Linked DNA regions of Pelodiscus sinensis. The protein of the gene in region 2 binds, or shares a complex with, the protein of the main gene of each other region. Links are inferred from orthologs where the notes say so. Each region holds a gene or a part of one and is shown on either strand. Other genes may lie near its edges.

Region 1 (7,874 bases), on a different chromosome or scaffold from region 2:
CACAAGCTTCAGAGGGGTACCTGAGTTAGACTTTTTTTTTTTAAGTTTTTCCAGTTACAGACTAGCAGCACCTTAAAGACCAAGAAAACATGCAGATGGTATCATGAGTTTCAAGGGCATAATCTACTTCATCAAAGGAGTGGATTGTGCCTTCAAAAGCTCGCAATACCATCTACATATTTTCTTAGTCTTTAAGGCATTGCTAGACTATTCATTGTTTTTCCAGTCACAGACAATCCTTTTAGGCACTCCTGTCTATTTAGCTACCTGGGCAATCTGAGCTTGGTGATAAATGGTCAAGTACACACCACATATCAGAAAATATTTCCATTGCTTCCAATCCCAAGAGAGCAGTCACTTACCCCAGGTCAATTTGTACCTTTGAGCTCACCAAAGACAATGCTTGTAGCCAATCCTAAACTAACTAAGGATTTATTAATTAGGGAAAAATACAATCAGCTCTAAATGTCTTTTCTTAGGGGTTAGCCAAGTTGATCCTGGGAGACTCTGCTTTTGTTTCCTAGTTCCAGCGCTGAGTCTATACGGGTATGTCTACACTACAAAGTTAATTCAAACTAACAGACGTTAGTTTGAATTAACTTTGATAGGTGCTACACTAGCAAACCGCTAGTTCGAACTTAATTCGAACTAGCGGAGCACTTAATTCGAACTAGGTAAACCTCATTCCACGAGGACTAACGCCTAGTTCGAATTAAGTAGTTTGAATTAAGGGCTGTGTAGCTATTTCATTCGAACTAGTGGGAGGCTAGCCCTCCCCAGCTTTCCCTGGTGGCCACTGGGCACCACCAGGGAAACTCTTCTGCCCCCCTCCCGGCCCCAGAGTCCTTAAAGGGGCATGGGCTGGCTACGGTGCCCGTGCCAGGTGCAAGCCTGCCAGCACCCAGCCAGCAGACCCTGCACCTGGCACAGCTCGAGCCAGCCACCCGCTGCCACCCAGCCCTCTGCCTCTTCCCGGGACCAGGCTGGCAGCTCTCGGGAGCCTGCCCAGGTCTGCAAGAGGCGGGCGCCCGCCTGGTCTAGTGCAGACATCGTGGACCTCATCCACGACCTCCGCACTAGGCACAGGAAAGTGGCCGTCTAGGGCAGGATAGCTGCCAGCCTGGCCACCCAGGAGCAAGTATGTATGAAAATCAAGGTGGTCCAGTGAGACCCCCGACCCTGAGCCCTGAGCTTAGAATGGCCGTACTGGGTCAGACCAAAGGTCCATCTAGCCCAGTAGTCTGCCAACAGCGGCCAACACTAGGTACCCTGGAGGGAATGGACCGAAGACAATGACCAAGCCATTTGTCTCGTGCCATCCATCTCCAGCCTTCCACAAACAGAGGCCAGGGACACCATTTCTACCCCCTGGCTAATAGCACTCCATGGACCCAACCTCCATGACTTTATCTCACTTCTCTTTAAACTCTGTTCTAGTTCTAGCCTTCACAGCCTCCTGCAGCAAGGAGTTCCACAAGTTGACTATTTGGTTTGTGAAGAAGAACTTTCTGTTATTAGTTTGAAGCCTGCTACCCATTCATTTCATTTGGTGTCCTCTAGTCCTCCTATTATGGGAACTAATGAAGAACATTTCTTTATGCACCCTTTCCACACCACTCATGCTTTTATAGACCTCTATCATATCCCACCTCAGTCTCCTCTTTTCTAAGCTGAGAAGTCCCAGTCTCTTTAGCCTCTCTTCATATGGGACCTGTTCCAAACCCCTGATCATTTTAGTTGCCCTCCCCTCTCCCACCCTCTCTCTTCCCCTCTCCCACCTCCTTTTCCCAGTCTCCCCAAGTTTTGCTCAATAAAGAGAGTTTCTATTTTTGAACACACATGTCCTTTATTTTGTACATCAGGAAGGGGGGCTAGGGAGGGGTAAGTGGAAGGAGGTGAGGGAGGACTGGGGTACGAGCCCCCGATGGGGAGGACTGGGCTGGCTCTGCGGGCTCCTCGGGGTGGAAGCTCTCCTGCAGCCCCCCGATTAACCCCCGTCCCCGGATGGCAGCCTATGGCGAGTGCAGCCGGGCTGATGGCCGAGTGTGGGCACTTGAAGCCAGGACTGCTTTGCTGTCCCTCATCAAGTTAGACAAGTGAACAGGGAACCCCTGAGAACTGTCTGTCCGGGGTGGGGGTCGGGTCCTTTTAAGCACAGCCCTCGGCTAGCCTGAGACAGCAGCTCCACGCTCTAAGTCCTCATCTGATGCCCTGCCGGCACTGCTTCTGGCCATCCTTAACCCCGGTTCAGGGTCCACTCAATGTGGACATGCTAGTTCGAATTAGCAAAACGCTAATTTGAACTAGTTTTTAGGTCTAGATGCACTAGTTCGAATTAGCTTAGTTCGAATTAACTAATTTGAATTAAGTTCGAATTAGCGCTGTAGTGTAGACATACCCTTCAACAGCAGATGAAGAATTTCACGTCAAATATCTTTATTTCATTCTTCCAGAATTCAAGCTGATGGGACATGATTCATTGCATATAGCAACTACATGGGCAAGAAAGGTCCATTAGCCTAGTCTTTGTAGCCATGCCTACAGATGCAGCTCCCTCAGTTCTCCTGACCCATTGATGGGGGCAGGTGCACATGGACTCTAATTGATGACCCCTGCACATACAGGGCTGCAGGTGCAGCTGACCAGTCTGGCACCATATCTTCCCCCACAATGGGGATAGCCAGTGCTTGTGATTCTAGCCCCATGACTGGGAGGGAGCTGAGAGTCAGGGATTCCAGCCCATGGTGCGCAGACTTGCCACGGGCTGGAGAAAATTTAGCAGGGGGAAGGTCCCTCTCCTTCCCCACTTTAGGAAATATTCATTAGTCAATGTTATTGAGTGAGCCTGAATTGCAAAGTTTAGACACAAACTGATCTGAAAGAGATGTTCCAGGGAGTTGGGATTCTGCATTCCCATTTCAAAGTGACACCCACAGTATGCAGCTCTACCTGTTTCTGAAATTACACACAAGTCTGTTTGCTGCAACAAACATAAAATTACCACATCCTCTGGAAACCTTTTCCTCCTGTAGACTTGTGCAACATAATTTCTCTCGTTTTCTGCAAACTTACCACAAAACAACTCCGACTAAAACATGGAACAATATACTTATCCAATGACAGAGCATTGTCACGTCTGAAAGGATGTTACAGAATGTCACTATGTCCAGAGGCAGATAGTTATGACTGAATTGGCAGGGTACAACCTGGAACTGGGGTAACACTGAGCATCTTTAACTCTCCAGCCTGGGCGCTATCTCGCAATGCTTTGCAAGTGACAGCTGTGCTTGGCAGGGTTTGCTATTTATCATTCAGCTCCCAGATCCACTCACAAATCTTAAAGAGAAAGGAGCCAGCCAATTCCTCTCACCTCCCTGGACTTTTGCCCAAAAGGTGCACCATCTTTTCCTGGTCAGAAGCCTGACCAGTGTATATTTCTTACACAGTCCACCCATCCTTCAATGTGGAGAGGACACACTCTAGCCTTTCTAACCTGAGCTGAGATTTCCCAAGCACTTCAAGGAAAACACTGTTCTGGGTAAAATATCAAACAGATTTATTAAATAGAGAGAGAGAGAGAGATTCTGTAGGCTACATCTGCACTGCAGCACTATTTCGGGATACTGGAGGTATCCCGAAATAGCTATTCTGCGTCTTTTGAGCACACCCGTTATTTCGAAATATAATGGGCTCGCTATTCTGACATCCCTCTAATGAGCATTAGAGGGGTAAGGGACTTTTCAGAATAGCAATTTATTTTGAAATAGGTGCTGTGTAGACAGTGCCAAATTTTGAAATTAGCTATTTCAAAATATGATTAAAATAAAATATGCAATTTGCGTAGCTCAAATTGCGTATCTTATTTCAAGCTACAGGCACAGTGTAGAGGCACCCTTTAAGTGGTAGACATAAATGATCAGAGATAGTTACCAAAGAAAATAGAAGCTAAGCACACAATCTAACTCTTAAACCTTATTATATTATGCAGTATTTAGGTCAAGCAGTATTCTCACCCCCTAGATATTACAGTTCTTAATACACAGGCTTCTCCCTGGTCCAGTCTCCTCAGTTGAAGTCTTTGTCTTCCAAGCATTCTTGTTCCTCCTTCCAGCATATGTGGGGGAAGAGAAAGGGAACAGTGGCACCAGGCTTTTGTCTATCTTGTATCCTTAGTCCACGTACCTATGAGACACTTGCTCCGATGAAGACATGTCCTGATGGACTTTCCTGAGTCACAAGGCTAAGCAATACCACTGATGTGATCTTGTGCAACTGCATCCTAGAATTGGACAGTCTCCATTGTTTGGTGCTTGCACAATTGTTATTGAATTGTATACCCTTTGATTAGAACTCCCCTATTGATTAATGAATGTTTAATACCATCCTGGAAGTGGTTCATCACCTAGCATTAAAGACTCTCAAAATTACAGCATATTTCAGTAACAACCATTTGGCAAAATCTCATAACTTCATGCACACTATTGATAAGCATTTGAACAGAACAACTGGCTTCAGACTTTTTATATGATGTGATGCTTTGCATGAAATAGTCATCATTTTATGGTGGTGTTATGGGACTGTAATGAGTCTGGGACAGCAACATGGCTGCCTGCTGACCCGGAAGAGGAAGTGCCCTCTATGACCCCTTGGTGGGCGGGTCCAGCCACACCTAGCCCCGCCCACAGGAGGTCAGAGGGCGGGTCTGGGGCTATAAGAGCCACAGGTTCAGTCGGAGCCAGGTAACTAAGCCAAGCCAACACCTGGCCGTAACTCCCACAGCGTAGGCCTCGGCCGCACTGCCCCTGGTCCAAGAACTGGGTTGGGCTGCGTGGACCCCTGCCAACCTCAGAGCTCTGGCCTGGGACACTGGCTGCTGCCTGAATGCACGCTGATCCTGATAGCACGCTTGCTGGCTACCAACAACTGTGCTGGCCCACCTGGAGTCCTGCCTGAACCGGAGCCCATGGACACCCTGCCAACCCCGCTGTTGCCCGAGTATCCACCGGACTGTCGCCAGAATTGGGTAGGCCCATGGAGGGAGGAGGGGGGTTGGAAAGTGACTCAGGGACAGCCGATCCTGGGAAGGCTGAAGAAGTGGAGGTCAGGTGGGCAGGGCGCTGTGGCTTGGACTCCCATTGACCTGGACGGCGCGCTATGGCCTGGAGCTCTGCCGGTCCAGTGGCTGCTGCCTTGGCACTGTTAGGGCCCTGGTGCGGGATGCGGTGGAGTAGGGAGGGCCTGCGTCCCCCCTGCAACCCTTTCCCCTGAGTGGCAGGTTCCCCCTGTGGGGCCAAAACCCTTGTGCTTGTCGGCTCTCGCAGAGCGAGGAGACCCGACCCCTGTCCGGCTGGGACCCAGACAGAGCTTTAATAGACACTTGTCGCCCTGACCCAAGGCACCTTAAACTGTGAACTGATGACTATTTGTATTAACCCCATGTCTGTCCGCCTGCCCTGACCCCGGGCGGGGCCTCACAAACTCACTCAGCCGAGGCATGTCCCACGGACTTGTGGGCACTTTAGGGAGTCAGCAGTGCCCCACCTGCTAATGTAGGACCCAATGGTAAGTACTGTTTACTTTTGGGAAGCTAGTAACATTGTGACTGTTGTTTTGTAAGTTGAACTGTCAGGTGATGCAGGACTTGCAAAGAGGGCATCCAACCCCCATACTTCAAACATTCCAGACTGATTTCTTAGGTCTCCTCTTTCATTAGTACAAATGGCATGGGGCTCCATTTTTTGTTCTCCCCAACAAAAAGAAGCTTTTTGTGTGCAGCAATCTGTCACAGATCAAGATCATTGGTCTTCCTGGCTCATTTTATATGAAGGAAATCTTCCTTGCTCTGCCATAAATGCATTGTATTACTTTTGCAAAGTATGGAGTTTCCACACAACAAAGCACTTAAGCGTGTCCATATGAATACTTTATTATATACCTGCCAACTCCCTCAAAACCAAAACAGTAGTTGTTAACTTCATGGGCCGTAACTTCATGGATTGTAATATGAATCGCTTAGATCTGCTACCACACCTCCTGGTGCAGTTATTGCATGCTGCCCACATGGCACTGCAGAAACACCTCATCACCTCTTTCCCCATACTGCTCATGCAGCAAATTGCAAAATTTGAGGCACAAGGCATTAGAGCCACATTTCACTTCAAAGTAACATTCAACAAAACCAAAGGAGGCAAAAAAAAAAGAAATCTAATTAAAAAAAGGATACACACAACACACACACAAGCTTTTAATTTAGTTTAGTGGTGAATATGACGCATTTAGATTTGGATCATGTAAATGATGAGAGAAATCAGGGAGACAGAACTTTCCTTTCAATCACTATAGCACTAGAGATATTTCTGAACTTACACAATTCATTCCCGGTGATTTCATGTGCAACCTCTACACTGGAACTATGACGGTACAAATAAGCTATTTTGGCATCATAACTCCCAGAATAGCTATTTCAAATACTATGTTCCACACTACAAAAGCCCATCAAAATAGTGCAGAAATATATCAAAATAGTGTGTCCACACTGAGTGAAGCCTGAATAGCTCTTAAGGCCCCCTGGAAGCATCAGGGCAGAGCATCAGGACAGCAGTCATTTCCTGTAGCTGCTGCCTGAGGCTATCTGAGGCTTATGCTTAAAAGGGCTACCTTCTACAGCCATGTCTCAGGCTCTTCACCTTTGCCTTGAAGGACAGCAAACTCATCTCACTTCTTGCTCTGGTTGCTCTTGAGGGCATGGAGCTAGATGTGCTAGAAAGTAATCGCCATCTCTTAGATCTGCTACCACGCCTCCTGGTGCAGTTATTGCATGCTGCCCACATGGCACTGCAGGAACAGGACACACTGTTCCCTGTAGGGCACCTCCTCACCTCTTTCTCCGTACTGCTCATGCAGCATGATCTCTCCCACCCTACCCTGCACACCAGGCACTGCCACTTCTGGCGACTAGCAACAGGTTCCAGCTGGTGGGGCCAGATTGTCATGGAGCAACGGGATGACCAGTAGTGGCTGTAGAACTTCCATGTGCTTAAGGACACCTTCCTGGAGCTCTGCAAGGGATACGCACATGGAACCCGCCATCCCCTTCCAGAAGTGGGTCACCATCACACTTTGGAAGCTCACCACACCAGACAGTTACTGCTCTGCCGGGAACCAGTTTTGCGTGGGGAGATCAACAGTTGGGGCCATACTCAGGCAGATACGATTCTCTTGCCGTTGTCCCAGGAGGGTGGTGAAGCACTGGAGTGGAGTTTCCTCGGGAGAGCTCCAGGAAGGTGTCCTTAGGCAAGTGGGGAAAGGGACCGACTCCCCTCCTAGGATGTGGTGGAGGGGCTTGTATAGGGATATGATTGGGGTGCTGCCCCTGAACGGGAGCTCCACTCCCTGGCTTTGGTGTAGGCCAGCCTCAACTCTTTCACTTTCGTGTGTTCTGGAGAAAGCAATAGACTTGGCTGCTTAGGTATCGTTTCAAAACAAACTTAGCATCTTCCCCAGGGACAAACTTGAAGGAAGATTACTATGCAGTCAGACAGATCCAATGTACAAGAGGAATAAAAGGCATCTGCACCTGGTCCACCAATTGGAGCCACAGAGGTGGTTGGATGGTGTGAAACATGTAAACTGGTTCTTCCTTATTCCGGCACAGAGCCTTAACCATTCTTCCTTCCATTCTTACAAAAATAATTAATACTAATAAGTATTTCAATTATCGTGGTGCATAGGAGCCCTAATTCTAGAGCTGAAGCTCACATAGCTCTTGTAGCAAGGAAAATCAAGAAACCAGGTTCATCTTCATGTAGGAAGGGCACTGGAGGAGGAGACATGTTTTTCTACCAGAGCCTCAGGGATGGATGAGGAAATCTTTG
Region 2 (6,876 bases):
ATATGATCCCAAATTATAAAATAATACTTTACTAAAGATAACTAATAACTTCGCCACTATATCATTTCAGACTCTTATCTTTTTGGATCACATAAGTTACCCTACACTAACAGCAGTTAGCGAATGTTCTTATTTGTTTTCACCTTTTTTTCTTATCAACCACAAATTGTTACCAATACATTTACTGGTTTTATTTGAGTGAAAGTTGGTATGTTGCTTCTGTTCTGGCCAGCCCCAGCATACTTAAAAACTAAACATTGGTCTAAAAATGAGCTTGCCCCCAATGAAAAAGATGGGTAAAACAAGTTTTGCTAAGAACTGTCACTTGGCTTTAGTCGCTAGAATTACAGGTGTTGTCCTTCTACAGCTCATATCCTTCCCAGAGTTTATCAACTTTATTAATTGTCCTATGTGTTTAATTTATATTGCAAACTGCTTAGATCTGGAATATCATCTTTCTAGGCCTTCTGCAAAACACTTTGCATCCTTTCTAAGCTTCTAATTCTTCATTTCTAGAACTGGTACAAAATATGTTGATGTATTTCATTTTGACATCTAAAAATGCAATCAATGGTTGCTTTTGTTTATTAACACAAAGATTTGTTAGTATTTCAGAACAAAAATTCTAGCAAAATTGTTCAGTTTCTACTTCTAGGAAAGCCAGTCTTTACGTGTGCAAAAAATCTTTTGGAATGGTTCATACGGATACAATTTTTTACTTTTAAAAGATTTAATATGTAGGTTTAGAAGATTTATAAAAATGTTTCAGCAAAAACTGACAGCTGTTATGCACACACAGAGTCACACTTCACTGGCAATTTACAGCCTCTTGTTTAAATCAGGCTGTCTGGGAATTATTCTTAAACAGGGTTTACACACTGTCCCTTCTAACCTAGTAACACTACTGGATAAGCCAAAATGAATGAACCAAAATGAATGTATACTCTTTTCTGTTTTTTAAGATTGTGGATTCAAAGACTGGATTACAATACTTTTGTGTAACATTTTAAGATACTTGGCCTTTTGTTAGAAAGTGGTTTAGCTGACCTGTGTGAATCCTACAATAGCCAAAGGCTAAGCTACACCACCCTTTCTCTGCACAAATCTTTACACAATCAACTATGAATTATCTTTCAAAATTAACTCTGTATTACCTGTCATAAGGTATTTTTCAAAATTAATCATATTGAACAGCTTCCTAACTCAGATAGAAGTAATAACCTCACACACACACACAAAAAAGGTAAGTCCTGACATACATCCTTTTTATGTCAAACCTCTACTACCATGGTGTCCAACATGCTAGCCACTAGCCAGATGTGGTTATTTGGCCAGTTGAGTGTGGCTAGTTGGCTTGAAAAATGTGCCAATTTGGCCAGTTGAGTGTGGCTAAGTCATGAGAGTGGCTACTGATTCAAAACTGGTTGGACACCATGGCTATACTATATAAAAAAATACTGTTTAGTGACCTACACTTAGTTACATATTTTAATAGATACTGAACGAATATATTTATATATTTTATTCTTCTACAAAAATGTATAGACACTGGCTAACAATCTATTTACTGACTATATCTTTCAAATTTTTTTGTGAATTCAGTTGTTAACACAGAATCCTAAACAGGGAAAGTTTAAAAATAGTTTGAACATACATTTCTTTATAAGCTCATCTATACTGCAGTTATTACTGTCAGGTGACTTACTATATAGCTGATTATTTGGTCATAATACAGTCTAGTTTTTAGTATAGATCAAAACATGTTTAAGCCACGGTTATGTCAAGCCTGTATCATGATGCAAGGGCACTGACAACAAGGCTTTCCCTCTTCCACTACCTAATGAAAAAGGTCAAGGGAAGAATGGTAATGTAGAAGGCCTCTACATTCTCCATCTACCTCACCCGTTCTTCTCATCCTGTTTCAGAGGGCTGTACAGCTATACCAAATGAAGGAAAATTAATGATGTGAATACTATGTCTCATTGAAATGCACCACAAAATAGTCTTTAACATTTAACTTTGAAGGTGTCTCTTAATAAAAAAGCAAATAAATTAAAGTTTTTAAGAACTCTTCCGATTAATCTACAATATTAAAAAGTTTTCAGCCCAAGTCATTGTTCAGTTGAGGAAATTGTGAATGTCAAATCAAACCTTCTGATCAGAGGCAATCCCAATACACAGTGGACAACATACTGCCAGAATGGCCACCTCTTAGGACTTAGGGTGATACTGACAAGATCATTCTCTGCCAAGGCCAGGAGCGCTAAATGGATTTGTGGGGAGGGCTGGGCGGAACTCTCTTGGCACACAAAGGGCCCATGACAGAAGAGTTGATGGGATGAACGATCCTCGCTCTGGGCTGGATCGGGGAAGAAGCGCGGGCGTTAAATCCTTCGGATGGAGGAATTTCGGGACTGAGGCCCTTGCAACTACGCTCAACACTGGGGCGCCTGACGCTTCGGCACAGGGGAAAGCGGGCGAACCCGACAGCCGCGGGGGCGGAGGTACGGGCGATCAAACGGGGCCAACGGTCGGGGGAGCTTGGCCCAAAGCCTGGAACGGGGCGCTTGGCGCTAGAGCACCGGGAGCCCGGACAACTAGGCCGGGGGAGGGGGGACGTGAAGGAGTCAGGCCCAAGGGAGAGCGCCAGGGTGAAAGGGCACCGAGCCGGTGGGGGACGCTCGCTCGGCCCTTTAGGGAGCGGTGCGGGGAACTCAGCCCGGAACTCTGCCCTCCACCCAGCTCCCGGCCCCTCCACCCGACCGGGCCCCAAACTCCGGCCCCTACGGACCGGCCGGCGGGCCGCCCTAGCCTCCAGCGCCGGCCCGGTCCGCTCCTCCCCCCACGCCGCCCCGCACTCACAACTCGCTCTTGCCCGATTTCTCCCAGTTCTTTATCCACTCGGCAGGGAGCGCCCCCGCCGCCGCCATCTTCCCCGTGTGGCGCCGAGAGCCCGGATGAGGCGAGCGACGGGACGGGGTCAGAGGGGACGGGCCGGCCCTCCCGCCAGGCATGATGGGAAACGGGCCTAGAGCAGCCTGGGAGACGAACGTGCGCGCGCTCTCTTGCCGAACGGCTCCCGAGCCCGCGCTGCGCGCGCGGAACCGGCCACGGGCGGCTGCTGAGTTTCGGCAGCGGCGCCCGCCCGCGGCTACACAACGCCGGGCCCAGCGAGTCCCGCGCCAGCTGCCCCCAGACACTCCGGTACCTAGCTACCCCCCTCCCCCCACACTGGTAACACTTGAGCCCCCCCAATATAGGGGTGACTCCTGACCCCCCCGCCAGTCACACCATGGCCCCCGCCCCTTCTTCCAGTACATCCGCCACCTGCCCCCCCCATACAGCTGGGCCACAAGCAACCCACCCAAAATACTTCCAGCCCTTCCTGCAGTGCACCACCCGAGCCCTTGTCATTTATCTTATAAATATATCCCCGCCCCCCCCCCCCCCCCCGCCCCGGCAAGTTTCCCAAATACACTGGACGCCCAGCAATCCCCCTACAATTAACGAGACTGCTATCATCCACTCAATGAATGCACCAGGACCTTGCAACGTTTCCCAAATACGGTGGGCCTCTGCAGTCTTCCCTCAAAAACACCAGTAACCCCTGGACCTCACCAATCTACCCCAAATACATCTGGATCCCTACAATCCACCCAATGAATACTATCAACTTCCCCAAATAACACCAGACCATCAATCGCTGCCCCCCACCCCCTCCAAAAAAAACTCTAGCAGGCTGCCCATCACAATGGTAACATCTGTTCTCCACTAACTCCCCCTCCCCTATGTCTTGGGGACACTGGGTACCCAGCAACTTTACACCAAATGTGCCACAACACCAGGCCTCCACCTATCCCATATCAATAGCTCCGGGTTTGCAGGGACATTTCCCCATGTCTCTCCCTTATAGTCTCAGCCAAAATCCATGCATATGTCTGTGACTTCACATACTTGTTAAAATAAATGTATTCTGAGATATTTAGCAAAAGGGTATCAGTAAGACTTATCTAATTCTGTAGCTCTGTTATACGAATTTATAGTAGTAATATTAATTTGTAGGTTTCAGTGATAGAGTTGCAGTCAAGGACTACAAAACTTGTTTGTGTGTAAAAAGTCATTTAATCTGTTAATTGTCATACAGATAGGTTGATAGTTATATTCTAAATCTATTGAAAAGAAAGAATGGTCCCTTCATTTCAGAAATCTTAGGGCAGGTCTACAAAATTAAGTCACCTTAAGTTACTTGCTATGCTATCAGCCCCAAGTGGCAGAACTCTAGATGTCAGTTCCGGGCAGTGAGGCTCTGATAGGCAGCAAATGGTGATGTGATGTGATGTAAGCAATGCAGTGTCTACACTGATCCTGCATTGACATAAGAGCTATGCCTCTTGCAGAGGTGGAATTACTAAGGACATATCTTCATGTTAGGCTGGATCAATAGGCAGTGATCATGTAAGCAAAGGGTCAGTTTGTCATGTCTAGATAAATTGACCACCGAGCGCTCTCCCGTTGACTCTTGATACACCACCAAAACCAGAAGAGTTAAGCGGAGTCGACAGGAGAGCATCAGCTGTCAACTTACTGCTGTGAAGATACTGCAGTAACATAAGTCGATGGTCTGCAATAGTATAGACAAGGCCTAAGTTAGTGTAGCAGGCTACTTACATCAGTGAGAATAATTTGCCTTATGCCACTCTAACTGTAGTGTAGACTAAGCCTTAGTTTCACAGTTCAAACTTCAACATTTGAAGAATACAGGGTCTTTTTTTTCTTTTAAAGTATATTCAGAGTCTTTGGTCTCTGATGGGCTTGAGCCATTATCTCAGAGGAAATTCCTAAACTATTACCAGTGGAGTACTTGCTGGAGGCTCTCTTTAGCTACATCTAAACTACAAGCCTCTTTCAAAAGAGGCTTTTTCGAAAGAATCTTTCAAAAAAGCCTCTTTCAAAAGACAGCGTCTAGACAACAAGCAGATTTTTTGAAAAAGGGAGCCGCTTTTTTGAAAGAGTCTAGATGCTCTCTTTCGAAAAAGAACAGTTTGCATTCAATAGCGCCTTTTTTAGAAACGGTACTTTCGAAAAAAGGCATTATTTCTCATAAAATGAGGTTTACCACGATTGAAAAAACTGCTGGTTTTTTTCGATTTACTTTCAAAAGAACGCGGCTGCAGTCTAGATGCAGGTGAATTTTTTTTTGAAAAAAGGCTACTTTTTTTGTGTCCCTCTGAGGAACAGAATAGATTTAAGGGAGCAATGAATGAAGAGAAAAATAGGTGGTATTTTTACCTTTTTTTCAAAAAGGCCAAAACATTTATATAAAATAATTAAAAATATATCATCATTGTGCTAATATTGGCCTTCCATGTAAACAAGGTGCAGTGAGCCCCAATTTACCAGTTTTATCTTGAGCCACCATTCCTACAGACAATGCAGCACTTGTTAGCACTTAAAATAAAGCTAAGTAAGGTTTATTAAAGTAAAAATAAAGATGTAATAAGAAATAGTGGTTACATCACAAAACAAAATCATAGAAAACAAACCAGAGTCTATACTTATGGAATATAGATTGCACCTCTAAAATCCAGGATACTCTGGTCTAGCAACATCCATGTTCTGGCAGGATCACAGATATTGCTGGACCAGGGAGCCTGGTTGGCTAGAAGCAGCACGGCCAGCAGTGGGGAAGTTGAGCTCTGGCGGGGGATGGAAGCAGAATCCCCGGTGGCCAAGACGGGCTGACAGCCAAGAAAGGAGCCTTGACCTGCCCTGGTCTCGCAAACTCCAGGGTTTGGGACCCCTCAGGACCAGAGGGTGTCAGAACAGGCAGGTCCAACCTGTAGTAAAGTAAATTTCCCACCAAATTCAGCCATTGCAGAGCTGGATGCTTTTTCAATAAAGAGGACCCAAAATGTTCATAAAATCATAAAAATGTAGAGTTGGAAGGTACCTTAAGAACTCATCTAGTTCAGCCTGCCTCACTGAGTAGGACTATGCACTCCTAAACCGTCCTTGATAGATGTTTATCCAATCTGTTTTTTTAAAAATTCAGTGATGGCACTTCCACAGCATCTCTTACAAGCCTAATCCAGATCTTAACTAGAATCATAGAATACTAGAACTGGAAGGGACCTTGAGAGGTCATCGAGTCCAGTCCCCTGCCCTCACAGCAGGATCAAGCACTGCTTAGAAGATCATTCCTAATAGATGTCTACCTAACCTGCTCTTAAATATCTCTAGAAATGGAAATTCCACAACTTCCCTAGGCAATTTATTCCACTGTTTAACTACTCTGACAGGAAGTTTTTCCTAATGTCCAACCTAGATGTATGTCCCTTGCTGCAGTTTAAGCCCATTGCTTCTTGTTCTGTGATCAGAGGCCAGGAAAAACAATTTTTCTCCCTCCGTGTGACACCCTTTTAGATCCTTGAAAACCACTATCTTGTCCTCTCTCAATCTCCTCTTTTCTAAACTAAACAAGCTCAATTCCTTCAGCCTTGCCTCATAGCTCATGTTTTCTAGCCCTTTTATAATTTTTGTACCTCATCTCGGGACCTCCAATTTCTTCCCATCTTTCTTGAAATGTGGTGCCCAGAACTGGACACAGTACTCCAGCTGAGGCCTAATCAGTGCAGAGTTAGTCACCAGATAGGTGATAATACGTCTTGGAGATGATCCATTCAAATCGGAGGCAGTTGTCCTGCCGTGGATAGCCAGTGAAGTAAAATAATTAGTTGTCTAGCCTTGCTCCATCACCACTTTAAGTGAAAAACTATCAGAGACAAATGCAGTTAATCAAAAACAATTAGGTGTAAAAAAGATACATTATAACAAAGAGAAAAAGCCGGTTATGAATAAGGAAAAAAGACAATTTCA

The links. The genes of interacting proteins can lie anywhere in the genome.
Region 1: the proteins of THOC2 (region 2) and THOC1 are in contact, whole or in part, in a cryo-EM structure (PDB 7ZNL), measured with the Homo sapiens proteins. The link is inferred for Pelodiscus sinensis from reciprocal best matches to the Homo sapiens genes THOC2 and THOC1. Residues at the interface, in NP_001075019.1 of Homo sapiens: Leu155, Phe156, Tyr157, Lys158, Gln160, Asn163, Leu164, Leu165, Arg166, Asn169, Glu170, Ala173, Lys174, Ile176, Ala177, Gly180, Gln181, Asn195, Lys197, Ser198, Leu199, Ile200, Gly201, Cys202, Phe203, Asn204, Leu205, Pro207, Asn208, Arg209; in NP_005122.2 of Homo sapiens: Asn134, Arg138, Asn141, Leu144, Arg145, Lys149, Thr153, Cys156, Gly157, Gln160, Leu161, Ala164, Arg165, Phe167, Gln242, Phe245, Arg246, Tyr297, Ala299, Lys300, Phe301, Arg319, His320, Leu323, Gln324, Ile327, Tyr331, Arg373, Phe374, Lys376.

What each region holds. Positions count from the first base shown.
Region 1 is NC_134712.1:79,537,486-79,545,359, reverse strand, and holds the start of THOC1 (THO complex subunit 1), read left to right. Parts: upstream 1-4,872; 5' UTR 4,873-4,963; coding exon 4,964-5,023; intron 5,024-7,874. UniProt on the Homo sapiens protein: Component of the THO subcomplex of the TREX complex which is thought to couple mRNA transcription, processing and nuclear export, and which specifically associates with spliced mRNA and not with unspliced pre-mRNA.
Region 2 is NC_134723.1:32,406,299-32,413,174, reverse strand, and holds the start of THOC2 (THO complex subunit 2), read right to left. Parts: upstream 3,014-6,876; 5' UTR 2,931-3,013; coding exon 2,863-2,930; intron 1-2,862. UniProt on the Homo sapiens protein: Component of the THO subcomplex of the TREX complex which is thought to couple mRNA transcription, processing and nuclear export, and which specifically associates with spliced mRNA and not with unspliced pre-mRNA.